Linked DNA regions of Arabidopsis thaliana. The protein of the gene in region 1 interacts with the protein of each later gene in a pairwise test. Each region holds a gene or a part of one and is shown on either strand. Other genes may lie near its edges.

Evidence for each region.
Region 2: the proteins of AT2G01818 (region 1) and AT2G35430 interact in a two-hybrid assay, tested with the Arabidopsis thaliana proteins (one large-scale study listed by BioGRID).
Region 3: the proteins of AT2G01818 (region 1) and HB51 interact in a two-hybrid assay, tested with the Arabidopsis thaliana proteins (one large-scale study listed by BioGRID).

The regions. Positions count from the first base shown.
Region 1 is NC_003071.7:352,810-357,340, reverse strand, and holds AT2G01818 (PLATZ transcription factor family protein), read left to right. Parts: upstream 1-1,746; 5' UTR 1,747-1,970; coding exon 1,971-1,979; intron 1,980-2,426; coding exon 2,427-2,693; intron 2,694-2,827; coding exon 2,828-2,986; intron 2,987-3,555; coding exon 3,556-3,789; 3' UTR 3,790-3,997; downstream 3,998-4,531.
Region 2 is NC_003071.7:14,900,179-14,904,384, reverse strand, and holds AT2G35430 (Zinc finger C-x8-C-x5-C-x3-H type family protein), read left to right. Parts: upstream 1-1,999; 5' UTR 2,000-2,127; coding exon 2,128-2,641; intron 2,642-3,126; coding exon 3,127-3,371; 3' UTR 3,372-3,681; downstream 3,682-4,206. Other genes in the region: AT2G35450 (catalytic/ hydrolase), read left to right, coding at 1-74, 160-213, 290-367, 456-553, 648-705, 796-917, 1,028-1,184; AT2G35420 (RING/U-box superfamily protein), read left to right, coding at 3,906-4,206.
Region 3 is NC_003076.8:1,003,040-1,007,146, forward strand, and holds HB51 (homeobox 51), read left to right. Parts: upstream 1-1,742; 5' UTR 1,743-1,945; coding exon 1,946-2,063; intron 2,064-2,615; coding exon 2,616-2,971; coding exon of another isoform or gene 2,972-3,079; exon of another isoform or gene 3,080-3,100; coding exon 3,101-3,334; 3' UTR 3,335-3,592; downstream 3,593-4,107. UniProt on the Arabidopsis thaliana protein: Putative transcription factor.

The DNA.
Region 1 (4,531 bases):
GTAGATTACTATAAGTACACTTTCTATGAGAAATCATTTTGTATTCCAAGCCCACAAGTCCAATAAAGCCATGTGTTTATGGGTTTGGACTTTGGACCATACACCCACTGGAATATCAAAGCAGTCTCCGTATTCATTCAATTTGCTATGAGCCAGTTGGTCCTTCCCTTCTAATGAAATACATGATTTTGGTGTCCCTCATTTTATAAAGCACACTGTCCAATCCAATCTTCATAATATTAAGCATCTACTATTTAGGTTCACTGATCATATGATATAAAATCTAAACATCAAAGGTGACACCAATAATTGGAACTAAGTTAGGCAAACTTAACCGTTTACATGTAAGGAACCAATTATCACTTATAAACCATTCACAGCTTTTGATGTAGTTAAAAAAGATTAGATATGAGCTCCAATATAATGCAGATTCAACAACAAAAACAATACTAGAGTTATATACTCATATGTCACTAATTATTTTAGATATATATTGATAAGTTTGTATAATTATTAACTTATAATATTGATGTGATCATACATTTAATACATAATTTTAAAAATATATATTATTTTATTATCTTATGGATTTGTATTCAATATTACACTAGATTAATTCAAGAACAAAAAATAAAGTTAGGGTTAAGACATCATTGAGTCACCATGCCAAGTGGTATGTTCATTTTTGTTGTATTTCTTCTAATCTTTCATCCAGTGCTACTATCAGCATAGATCAACAACGTTGAGACGAAAAATCTGTATTAAAACGTGCAAGATAAATTGAACAAACACATATTATTTCCACGTTTTAATAATCATCGCAAGTTTTTGCAAATGGTATGTATTCAACTAAATCATATTTCTAAAACGTAAAAACGTGAAAACCCGCATACGTATTATCTCGAATAGGGAAAACTTTCTGTCATATGTTGTATCGAAGATGGAATGCCATAGAAACATCTACCTAAACTTATAATTTCAATTTTATATAATCTATAAATGCTACTATGCTCATTATCAAAATACTTTACTATTACTTTCTGGTTTTAATATTCATCTTAACGATTTTCAAGTGATATACTTTTTTTTTAATTTATAAATTATGAGCAAATGATAAGATATTTTTTAGGATACTTTCAACTAAATCTGTAACAAATTTCACCAATCTATTTAAATTTCAATTGTCTATGTATGCGAACATCAAGCAATAATCTAGTCTCTCCATAAGTATAGTATGTATGTGCTGGATTTGAATTTGCCTAAGATATTATTATGTGCACTTTGGAACGGTTATTTTTGACATCAAATATTCCTATCTATGTATATGTAGAAAATGATATAATTCTAAATTTGATAAGTTGTTTCCTTGGAAATTTCGGAGTAAATATAGGAAGCTTTGCTTACCTTTATCGCACCATCTAAATTATAAAGACTTAACTTTTTGCCCCTCAAAGTCAAATTATGTCCACTCATTTTTAATTATTACAATTTGCATATTAATGACCTAATTAGTGGATTTCATTCGTATTAAAAACATACTTATCGATTTATCTAGAGACAAAACAGTAATTTAAAAGTTACACATGCTTCATATTCCCGCCTGGTATCCATTTTAGGTATTAAAGAGTCACAGTTATTGTTGACTCTGTGGACTTTTGATTTTTCCCTCATTTTTAATATTAATTGTCATTTAGTTTCCTTTTTTTTAATTTATTATTCTCCACAAAACACAATATGTAATTAATTGAAACATTCCTAATATCATTTCTTTAATATTTCGTTTGCCTTCTTCTACTATTTTTATTCACACTACAAATCAAATCACATCTCTCTTCTTCTTTTTGCTTTTGGCCTTCTTCTTCTTCTTCTTCTCCTCCAAGAACACTAAAATATTTTTGGATGATTTTGATCGGAGAAATATAAAATCTTCTCATCTGATCTATCAAAGGAACTCAGTTTCTCATACCAAAATGAATCTGGTACATGCTCATTTTTTCTTATTAATTTCTGCAGTGTTAGTTTTTGTTGTTGTTGTTGTTGAAAACAAATCCCTTCAATTCAAGTTCATAGTTTCAATATAAATTAGAAACAAGAAAATTTCTGCAAAATTTATAGTTATGATTTCTTCATATAGCCCATTTATAAATTCTTTATAAATTTCAATAAAAAGTAAAATTTCTGCAGATTCCATATCCTTCAAAAATGTAGTTTTATTTTTTTTTTCTTTTCCTAATTGTAAACTGATCTCTCTAATTCAAGTTTTAAATTTCTTCATATAAAAAAAATAAAGTCAATAAAGTTTCAAATTTGTACAGATTGTTTTTTTCCGGATAATATTCATGTTTTTTTCTTCTTCATAGTAATTCATTATAAATCATAATTAAGTTTATGCAAATCTAAAAAAGTAATAGCAATAATTTTTGTAGAGTGAGAAGAGAAGAAGTGAAGAAGTTTGGATTGAAACACTACTGAACTCAGAGTTCTTTGGGATATGTATGAATCATAAGTATCTTAGAAAGAACGAGAAGAATGTGTTTTGCATTGATTGTAATGTGGAAATATGCAGACATTGTTGTAACACAGTTACAGATTCTCATTTCCTCCATCGTCGTCTTCAGATCTGCAAATACGTTTACCAAGATGTTATTCGTCTCCTCGAAATCCAAAACTACTTCGACTGTTCCGAGATTCAGGTTTTTTTTTTCTTTAAATATCTAAATCATTCAATAATTAATAAAATAATCATTTGAATTCTTGTTTTAGAGTTCCAAATTAATGTTTTTAATTTTGGTATTGGTTGGCAATAATTTATGTATGGGGGAAAAAGACATATAAAATAAATGGAGAGAAGGCAATACATTTGAATTCAAGGCCACAAGCAAAAGATGCAAGACCTTCAACAAAAGCCAAGAATGGTGCTTCATGTGTGACTTGTAAAAGATATATTCAGGATCATCCTAATCTTTTTTGCTCTATCTCCTGCAAGGTAATTTATGGTATCTTTTGTTAAAGTTTATATTTCCCTTTGAATTGTGTTGATTAGTCTATTGGTAGTCATCTACCTTTCTTAATCTTTTATTTATTGGTAGTTATCAAACATATAAAACAATCATTTACAGAATAATCTTGAAATGATAAAAAAAAGTTAGTCTTGAGGCATATAGTTTTGACATAGTATATAGGAAAATTATGAGTGATTTGAATTGTACACATTTTCAACTGTACATTGTCTTGTTCACACTCAAAAATGTGTATAGTTTTGTTTTCGGTTAGAAGATGCGCAAATATTTTTTAAAAGTGTTTCATTTTAATACTTTTCTTAAAAATCATTGTTTTGAAATTACAATATATAATTTCGAAAAACGTAATCTACATTAACAAGTATCATTTAATACAAATTGAAATCACTTAATACATGTGAGTTGTATAAACACGCTTTAAAACGTTAAATTTGCGTATATTGTTTGAAGTCAAATATAAGAATTTGCTTTTGAGTTTAGAGCATGCTCTCTAATAGTTGAAAGACATTTTTTTTAATATATTTTCTTTTTGTAGATTTCAACTCCTTCAAAAAAGCATAAATTTTGTTTTTCTCCAAAACTAGAACAGAGTGTTTTGGAGAAAGAACACTCTACTCAAGAAGGAAGCTTAGAAGAAAAAAAATCGTGCACATCGTCCCTCACTGATGTTTCAGAAGATTCTGAAGTTTTATTGAGTGATTTTTCATTTAGACCACTCTTGAGAATACTCAAGAGAAAAGGAATTTCTCGAAGATCTCCTTTCTATTGATTTTTTTTTTTCTTTGGATTTGTCATCAAAGCCATACATTATGTGTATTTTATCTATGAAAAAGATATTATATCGGCTATCAATATTATTTTAACAAGTTAATAAGTTTTGATGAGAAATAGTGATGTTTTATTTTTTTGCTAATAGGCTAAAAAAATAGTGATACAAAGAAAAATAATAATAGTGATGTGTAATGCGTATGTATGAGTGATTTATTTATTATTCATCATGGAGAAAAGAGAGAGAGATATGGGCCCAAAAAGTTTTTTTGGTTCATGAGAATGAGATTGTGTTGATTCACTGGAACCCACAGTTTTAATGAAATACAATATATAAAAATGAATATTATGCAATATTCTTAACGCTTTTTGGGATGAATTGATAGATACACGTTGTAATGACAAATGATGGTATCATTCGTCGTAGACTGAGGTTCCGAATGCAGGCCGAACGGTATGATGTGGTGCGGTTCGAACAGTAACAAAAATATATATATATATATGTAAATATTTTTGTTATTATTAGAACCGCACTGCATTTTATCCACAGTTAAACCGCACGTTACCATTCGGAGCCAAGTCATAATTTTTCTACGATATTATCATTTGTAAAAATTACATGGTTTGGTAAACTTCTCCATATTTCAATTCCTATTCCTGTATTTTTGCAACATTCTCTTTTTGGTTTATAATAAAAATGAAAAATTATACGATTCAACACTCCATTTAAGTTATTCGGGCTA
Region 2 (4,206 bases), about 15 Mb from region 1:
TTGTCGGTTGTTGCCTTGCTAATCCTGCAGAAGATGGCAGTGGAATTACGCACCTTGAGAATCTTGTTTTAGAGGTCTTCCCTTTCACTGTTACTCAAAGCATCTCCAAATATTATATATGCATCTCATTTCTGAGAGTACTTAAATCTTTTTTTGTAGAGTAATTATCGTGCTGTTCGGTTTAATCCCTACTTGTGGCCATCGGGTCAGAAGGTAACAGTTTAACCATTCCAATGACCTTAGATCAAGTTTCCACCGTATTCTGTTGATTGTCAATGACTCAACACAGATGACAAATGCTGTTGGTAAAGCCTTGTTCTCTAAAGCAGGGGAGCTTTGTGTGCCTGTTGGCTTCATGTGCATGAAGGTCTGGTAGTATTTTCACCTTTGTGGTCTCCAAAGTTGTGTGGTTTACGCGAAGTTCTTTCGTTAAGAATCTTGTTTTCTTTATTCAGGGTCTAGATCTTCACATTGCAGAAATTGAGGAACTTTGCACAGAATTTCCAAAGACAACTGTTTTACTAGATCACGCTGGATTCTGCAAAGTACCAGAGTGAGCTGTTCTTTGCTTTTTGTGAAAAATAATCCCGTCCCCTGAAATTCCTATAGAATGTAGTACTAATATTCATGGTTTCAACAACCTGCAGAAGTGGTGAGGCAAAGCTTGCTTATTCTCAACTCATGAAGCTGTCTAGATTTCCACAGGTGAAAAAGAAAAAAAAATTACTTTTAGAATCTGAATTCTCATAGATTATAGATTATACGAGTCTGAGGGAAGAATATTGTAACAAGCAGGTATATGTGAAATTCAGTGCTCTATTCAGGATCTCAAGAACCGGCTTCCCGTATCAGGACCTATCGCCTCTCCTATCTCAACTTGTGTCCCATTTTGGGGCAAATCGTGTCATGTGGGGCAGGTAAACATACTTATTTACCTCGCTTTCCCGACTAAAAACCACAAAAAACCTTCTATATCTACTAACAATACATGATCATATACGGATTGGCTGTTTTCCATCTGCTGCAGTGACTTCCCATTTGTTGTTCTTGAATGTGGATATAAAGAAGCTAAAGAAGCTGTGACTATCATTGCAAAAGAAGCATCCTTGTCAAGTTCTGAGATGGACTGGATTCTGGGAAAGACTCTGATGCAGCTCTTCCCTGGACAATGGGTTCTTCCTTGAGAGGCTTGTCAGAAGTAATAGGTTGCATGCGGATGAGATAATGAAGCAAGCAATGGAAGTTGTATCATTAAAGATACTTAACTCTAGCCTATATATTACCAAACACTAGATGTATACCAATTTAGTAAATCAACAAAAATCTTATGTGTTGATATCATAATGATTCATCGTGAGATGATGGAGGGCCTGGATGTTGATGTGCTCTGATCGAAAATTTCTTCCACAATGGGTGAGCTGCTAGGATCCCCTTTCCGTGTTCAATGAGGTGAGGTGATAATTTATAATCATCGGTGGCTTTGCTGGGACATTTATGAGGGATAAGTTTCAAGAATCAAGCTTCTCTCCAGTAGCTTGTTTTACAAGTAAGTAAGAGTTGGCGTCTCCGGTTATAATTTATACCCGTGTAAGTTAGTTTCATCTATTTACGAAATCGCCATGATGGAGTATCGAGTTGTGCAAGTGATAGCAATGTGGAATTCAAAGAGACAATTGAGTTTTCTTTGAGAATTGAAAGAAGTGGTGATCGAGATTAGTCAGCATTGTAAAACTTGTTTGGGTTGGATTCTTGAAATGTACAAGCGCGGTTTCATATGGTAGAATCGATTCAGAGAGTGTGAAGTGAATTTACACAACTTGCTAAACTAGTAGAGCAAGTGAAGCTCTTAAAAATAGAAATCCTCTCTGCCTAACAACTTTTGTTTTACTCGTCTTAATTATCAACATTAGTTAAACTTCTTTCTTTTATTTAATCTGTGACCATTATTGATTTTATAGCTAATCACATTTTGATCCTTATATAAATGCTACTACTAGTACGATTTTGAGTGGCTTTACTCTACTTTACTTTCCACTTCCTCTTCATCTACTCTTTCTCTCTCTATCTCTTTCCACTTCCTCTTGCTTTTACTCCTGGGTTAGGGTTTAGGGTTTCTTGGTCGACGTGATGAGTCATCGGCGAGATTACGGCAGTGATGCAGTTCACGTGAGAATCACCCACGACCCTCCGCCTGAGAATTGTTTTCCAAATTCCGGCGACAGTTCCGTCTGGGCCACTGAGGATGATTACAGCCGTGTCTGGGCCATAAACTCTGATGGCGCAGAGTCTCCGAGCAAGAAGACACGATCTTCCTCCTCCTCCGAGATCGGGAAATCGTTCTTCAAGACGAAGCTTTGCTTCAAATTCCGCGCCGGAACTTGTCCCTACTCCGCGAGCTCTTGCCACTTTGCTCACAGCGCGGAGGAGCTCCGTCTTCCTCCGCCGCCGCCGCCCAATTGGCAGGAGACGGTGACAGAGGCTTCAAGAAACAGAGAAAGCTTTGCGGTTAGTTTAGGCCCTCGTGGCAATGTTGCTCAGACTCTCAAGTCTCCGAATTGGAAGACAAGGATTTGCAATAAGTGGCAGACTACTGGCTATTGTCCTTTTGGTTCTCACTGCCATTTTGCTCATGGACCTTCAGGTAAAGCTACGGCCTTTTTCATCTATTAGTAACCCCAACGAATGTAGTTTAGAAATGGGTTTTAATCGGTGTTGCTTGATGAACTGTGAGTTTAGAGTGTCACTAGAGGTTAATGGATGCTAATTCTCTGGACTAAGAGATCATCTTTGAACACTAGAACTATCTTTATTAGCTTAAGTTAAGTCTGTTGAATTGTATATGTAATGGTATTGGTTTCCTTGAGGATTCTTTATATGGACTGTGGGTGCCAATTAGTTAATCGTGCTTGGTGAATGGATTGGTGACAATGTCTATTAATGGACTTAAAGTGGATCGAGTGAGATTGTTGAAATGTTTCCTATTGCTACATTGCCATTACGTGATGATGTCAATTGGTTTCTGATTGGAAAGAATTCTTGATCTGCTTGTTCCTAATGGCTATGGAAATGCAGAAAGTTTCAATCGTCGCTAGCTAAAAGTTTGAGTCTTTATGGTATCTTTTGCAGAGTTGCATACATTTGGCGGAGGACTCGTTGAAGGAGAATGTAAGATCGGAACATCCGCCACTTTGGACACAAAGCAGAGAGGACAAGTAGACACAGTGACTAGCCTTGTTTCTCCTGGAGTCTCATCCCAACGGACATCTAGTGCTGTTACGCAGAAACCCAACGGAGTCAGAACTCAACGGAAATGGAAAGGACCAGATAAAATCAGTCGTGTTTATGGTGATTGGATCGACGATATTGAGTAAAGTCACTGCATTTTCACTGATTTGTTGATCAAGGTATAGCTTCTTTTAGACTTGTAACTGTGTGGACATATTAGCTTCCTCCCTTCTGTGGTTGTAGATTGTGACTCACTCAACAAAGACAAAAACTCTCATCTTTTTGTTTATTCTCTTTGTCAATCCTAAATCTAATCTTGCAGAAGATCAAACCGAACTAAATAATGTTGCGTACTTGTAAACCGGATCATCATTGCTACCTAAACCTTTTTCTTTATTTCCATGGTCAATATTAATTTTTCGTTTTGAGTTATTTTTAACAGTAAAATGATTTATTATTAAGACAACGATTTTAACTGTCACAAAAGACTCGCTCAAAATGGTAAGCAAAGCCACTTCTGTCTCTCAGACATAGCCACTTTATTCTCCTCATTTCTCTCTATTAACTTGAACAATAATACTCCTTTTCTCACAAGGATTTGTAAGAACAACCTTTCTTATATCCCAAGCAATCTACGAAACTGGTAGAATCTGGGGGTTTCTCTAATCATCAACCTTCAAATGTCGTCAACAACATCAATAGATTCAATACCAGCTACTGCTGTTTTCCCTAGTGTTTCCATGCCTGTCACCGTAGTTTTGACCGGTGTTCTTCTCTTTGTAATTTTCGCCGGATTCTTCTCTCTTTTCTTATGGCAGTTTCTTCTGAATCGATTATTTACTACTTGGAACCTTCAACGAACACCTTACGGTGACCTAATCCATGTGGCCACTCCGCCTGAAAATACTGGCCTCGACCCGTTTATCATCCGGTCCTTTCCTGTATTCCACTATTCATCTGCAACTAAGAAAAATCATGGGA
Region 3 (4,107 bases), on another chromosome or scaffold:
ATCGAAGACTTTTTACGTAGGGTCTTAGCTAAAATAGTGAAATTTGCATATTATTTTTTTAAGAAAATAGAGTATGAAATGTTGTTATCAAACGGATCCTTTACAATGAATGCAATCATCGAAAAAAAACCATAAAAATATTCTTAAAAAAATTATACACTATGAAAACTGTGATGTCTCATCTCTTTCAAGGGTTTAGGCTTAAAAGCTTCCCTTTTCTCTTATACACTGTCGTTAGTTTTAAATCTCATTACTTATCATCAATCTGTTCAAACCCTATCTACTTTTAACATAGAAAAAGATTCCTTTCCTTCCCTCTCTACCCTTCTCTCTCCATCTCTTACACTATTTACACATCAACAATTTGTTAAGTAGCAATTGAATATGAGAGAGAGAGATATAGGGAGAGAGATTGTGTGTAGAACTGCAAGTTAATAAAGAATGTGGGGGTAAAGAGTACACAGTAGATGAAGACAATGAGACTTAGTTTTCAAACTTCTTCTTTGCTTTGGCTTTTATTGGTCATATCAGACTCTTTATTTATAGATGATCTACTTAGCTCTCTGTGTTGATTCTTAGCTTTCAAAGGTAGCTTTTGGCCTCACCCTATATACTCTATACAGGTTACTGCACATATACATTGGTATGGACTTGCCACTAGTGCCAAACCTTTTGCACATTAATTTTCACATATATATAAGTAGATTTAGATGGTGTATATATAAGACAAAACAATAACTGAAAATCTTAGGACCAAGAATGAAGGCATAACCAAAGAAGGGGGGAACCACATTGTCAGTTTTTATGGAGTTTTTGGGGGACCATTAGTTTCGTTTCACTCTTTCTCTTTCACTTATTTAAGCTTAACTTTGACAAATACGTACCCCCACCTATATTACTACACGAAATTACAATATATTTATATATAAAATCTCATCAATTTCTTTTCAACTACATTTATGTTTCCATGTTTATAAAATTCAGTCAATTAAGACGGTGGTTTAAATGTTAAAGGCCACAAGTAGATTTATGTGAATGTTAAAAAGTCCCAAGTTTAGAAATTCCGTCAAATATAATTAATCCATGCAGATTTTGATTTACCATTTATTGGTTTACACTAGATTTTCAAAAGGAATATTTGGTGCATTCACACAAGGCTCAAGATTGTTTGTTTTTTCTTCAAAAAATATGATATTATCAAAACCTCTAATTTTGTAGCAAAATCAATTTTATTTAAATCTAAAACATGTATTGTCTTGGTTGGTTCACATCATCTTGCAAACTCTGTAACACTATAAATTGTTACAATTTGTATGTTTATCGAAAAAGCGCAACGATAATATTGACATAAACAAGTAGATTAGGTGTCATGATAGTATATATATTATAAAAAAACTAATACGAAAGAAAAAACAGTTTCCCGAAAATAAATTAAAAATTCCAAGTTTGACCCTTGGACACAACAAAATATATCAACCTATATTAATGTTAGAGAGATGATGGATGATGATTGATGATGTGCAAATGAGACAAAATTATATCACACTTTCCTTTTCAATCTTTAAATTCCAAAACAAAAGGTACTGTTGGGTTGCTCCCTTATTAGGTGAAAAAAACCTCACACAACACAGACAATTTCACTCTGTCTCTTTCACTACACCTCTATATCTCCCTCTAGATACATATCCCTATTTATATATGTATTGTTTCGAACACTGCGTGCTCTCACACTTTGTTACACCTCCAAAAGACAAAGTACATAGAAGAAGAAACTTCTTGTCACGCCTCTCTTACCCCTTCCCTTGTGGTCCAATAAAACCCTAATTTTCTTTTCTTTCTTTTATCCATTGTATTAGATCCTATATCTTTCTTCCTTATAGACCATCTCTCATGTCTTCTTATATATATTAAGATATTCACAAGAACTACAAAAGAAAGAAAGGAGATGGAGTGGTCAACAACGAGCAACGTAGAAAACGTGAGAGTAGCTTTCATGCCACCGCCATGGCCGGAGTCTAGTTCCTTTAACTCGCTCCACAGCTTCAACTTTGATCCTTACGCAGGTATATTCACACACCATCGTACCAAGTCTGCATATGTTACATGCTTTCGTTTTTTTTACTTTTAGATGTGTTTAATTCCATATTTGACGAATTCATGAACTTTAAAACCTTATTTATCCCACTTGCAAATGTTCTCAAGAAGTTTTTTTTTTTCTGTGAATGATGTAAAGAATTTCAAATATGACGTCCCTAAACTTCATTCCAAATGTCAACTAAAACGTTACTTTTCTGATGAGAAGCTAAGATTTTCTTATCTTCAGTCTACAATATCTATAAATAAAGTTTCTTACTTTTTTCTTGGGATCCTACAAAAACAATTTCTTGGGATCCAAATGCAAAAAGGTAAAACGTCACTTTTGAAAAGTTGAGATTCGTTTATGGTATAGTTCACTCTAAGAAAAATGGTTGCGGACATAATTTTATTCTTCTTATACTTTTGGAAGTTTTTTTTTTTTTTTTTTTTTTTTCGTATAATGATTATATTGTTGCGCTTCTATGTTTAAATATTTCCTTTTATCCTTTCGGGGCGTTTGCTAAAATGTTTAACAGCAGGAAATTCATATACGCCTGGCGATACACAAACCGGACCGGTTATCTCTGTACCGGAATCAGAAAAGATCATGAATGCGTACCGATTTCCGAACAACAACAATGAGATGATAAAAAAGAAGAGACTAACGAGTGGACAATTAGCTTCACTTGAGCGAAGTTTTCAAGAAGAGATCAAATTAGATTCAGACAGGAAGGTGAAGCTGTCGAGAGAGCTCGGTCTGCAGCCACGTCAGATAGCAGTTTGGTTCCAAAACCGCCGTGCACGGTGGAAGGCGAAGCAGCTTGAGCAGTTGTACGACTCGCTTAGACAAGAGTACGACGTCGTTTCTAGGGAGAAACAAATGTTACACGATGAGGTTTGTGTATTATATTGCACAAAATTAAAATCATGGGATCTAATTACATATTATCGTTTTCTTAATTTATCCCTTAAAGTCTTGATTCTATCAGATTGCCCCCCTTAAAAAATTGGATTGGTGGTGCAGGTGAAGAAGCTGAGAGCTTTACTAAGAGACCAGGGTTTGATCAAGAAGCAAATCTCTGCCGGGACCATCAAAGTTTCCGGTGAGGAAGACACGGTGGAGATTTCATCGGTGGTGGTAGCTCATCCAAGAACGGAGAATATGAACGCAAATCAAATCACCGGAGGGAATCAAGTTTACGGTCAATACAACAATCCGATGCTGGTTGCTTCCTCTGGCTGGCCGTCATACCCCTGATAGATGTTGCTGATCTCAGAGAGAGGGAAAGAGAATGAGAGAACGAGAGAAAGAGAGAGAGAGAGATTGTGTCAAATAGAGCTTTAGACTAGGACTTTAGTAGTGTTATAGACTAAGACAAGCTTTCTCTCATTGTACGATCTTAAAACATAAATGGCACGTTCTTGGATGCGAGATTGAGTCTGAAAATTGTTGAGTTGGTTTTGTTGAACAACTATACTATGAACACTCAGAATTGGCGAATGTCCGAAACAAAACTAGCTATAAACCAAAATAATGACGAGAGTAAACGAGATTGTACAAATCTTGACACTGATGCTCAGCATTTTCCGCTTCCCTTCACCGAACTTGAGACCTCTTGACGCAAAAAAAAGCTGCTTAGGCTTTGTGTGTGTGTGTGTGTGTGTGTGTGTTGTAGCTTGGTAAAAAGCTAATCTTTATATGTACATGACTGTCTCCAGGTAAGCTTTGATTGAAGAAGGCTTTAGTTGTTAAATATTTAAGAACTTTACATTTCGAATCAGAGATCATAAAAATTGTAACCTTGACAGTATTCCAATAACTGTCTCATATTGATAAAACATCAGACGCAAAAGCCATAAAGTGATCAGAAGTAGTACGAAGCTGCCACTCCATTGTTTATATTTGGAACCGTCGTTGCTAGTTTGTTTGGGCCTAGTCAGGAGTTATTTTGGGCCTAACTAAGAGTCAGTGAATCTGAGCTTAAAGTTTGGTAAGATGTGTAACTTGTAATGGGCCAATCAAATTTTGAA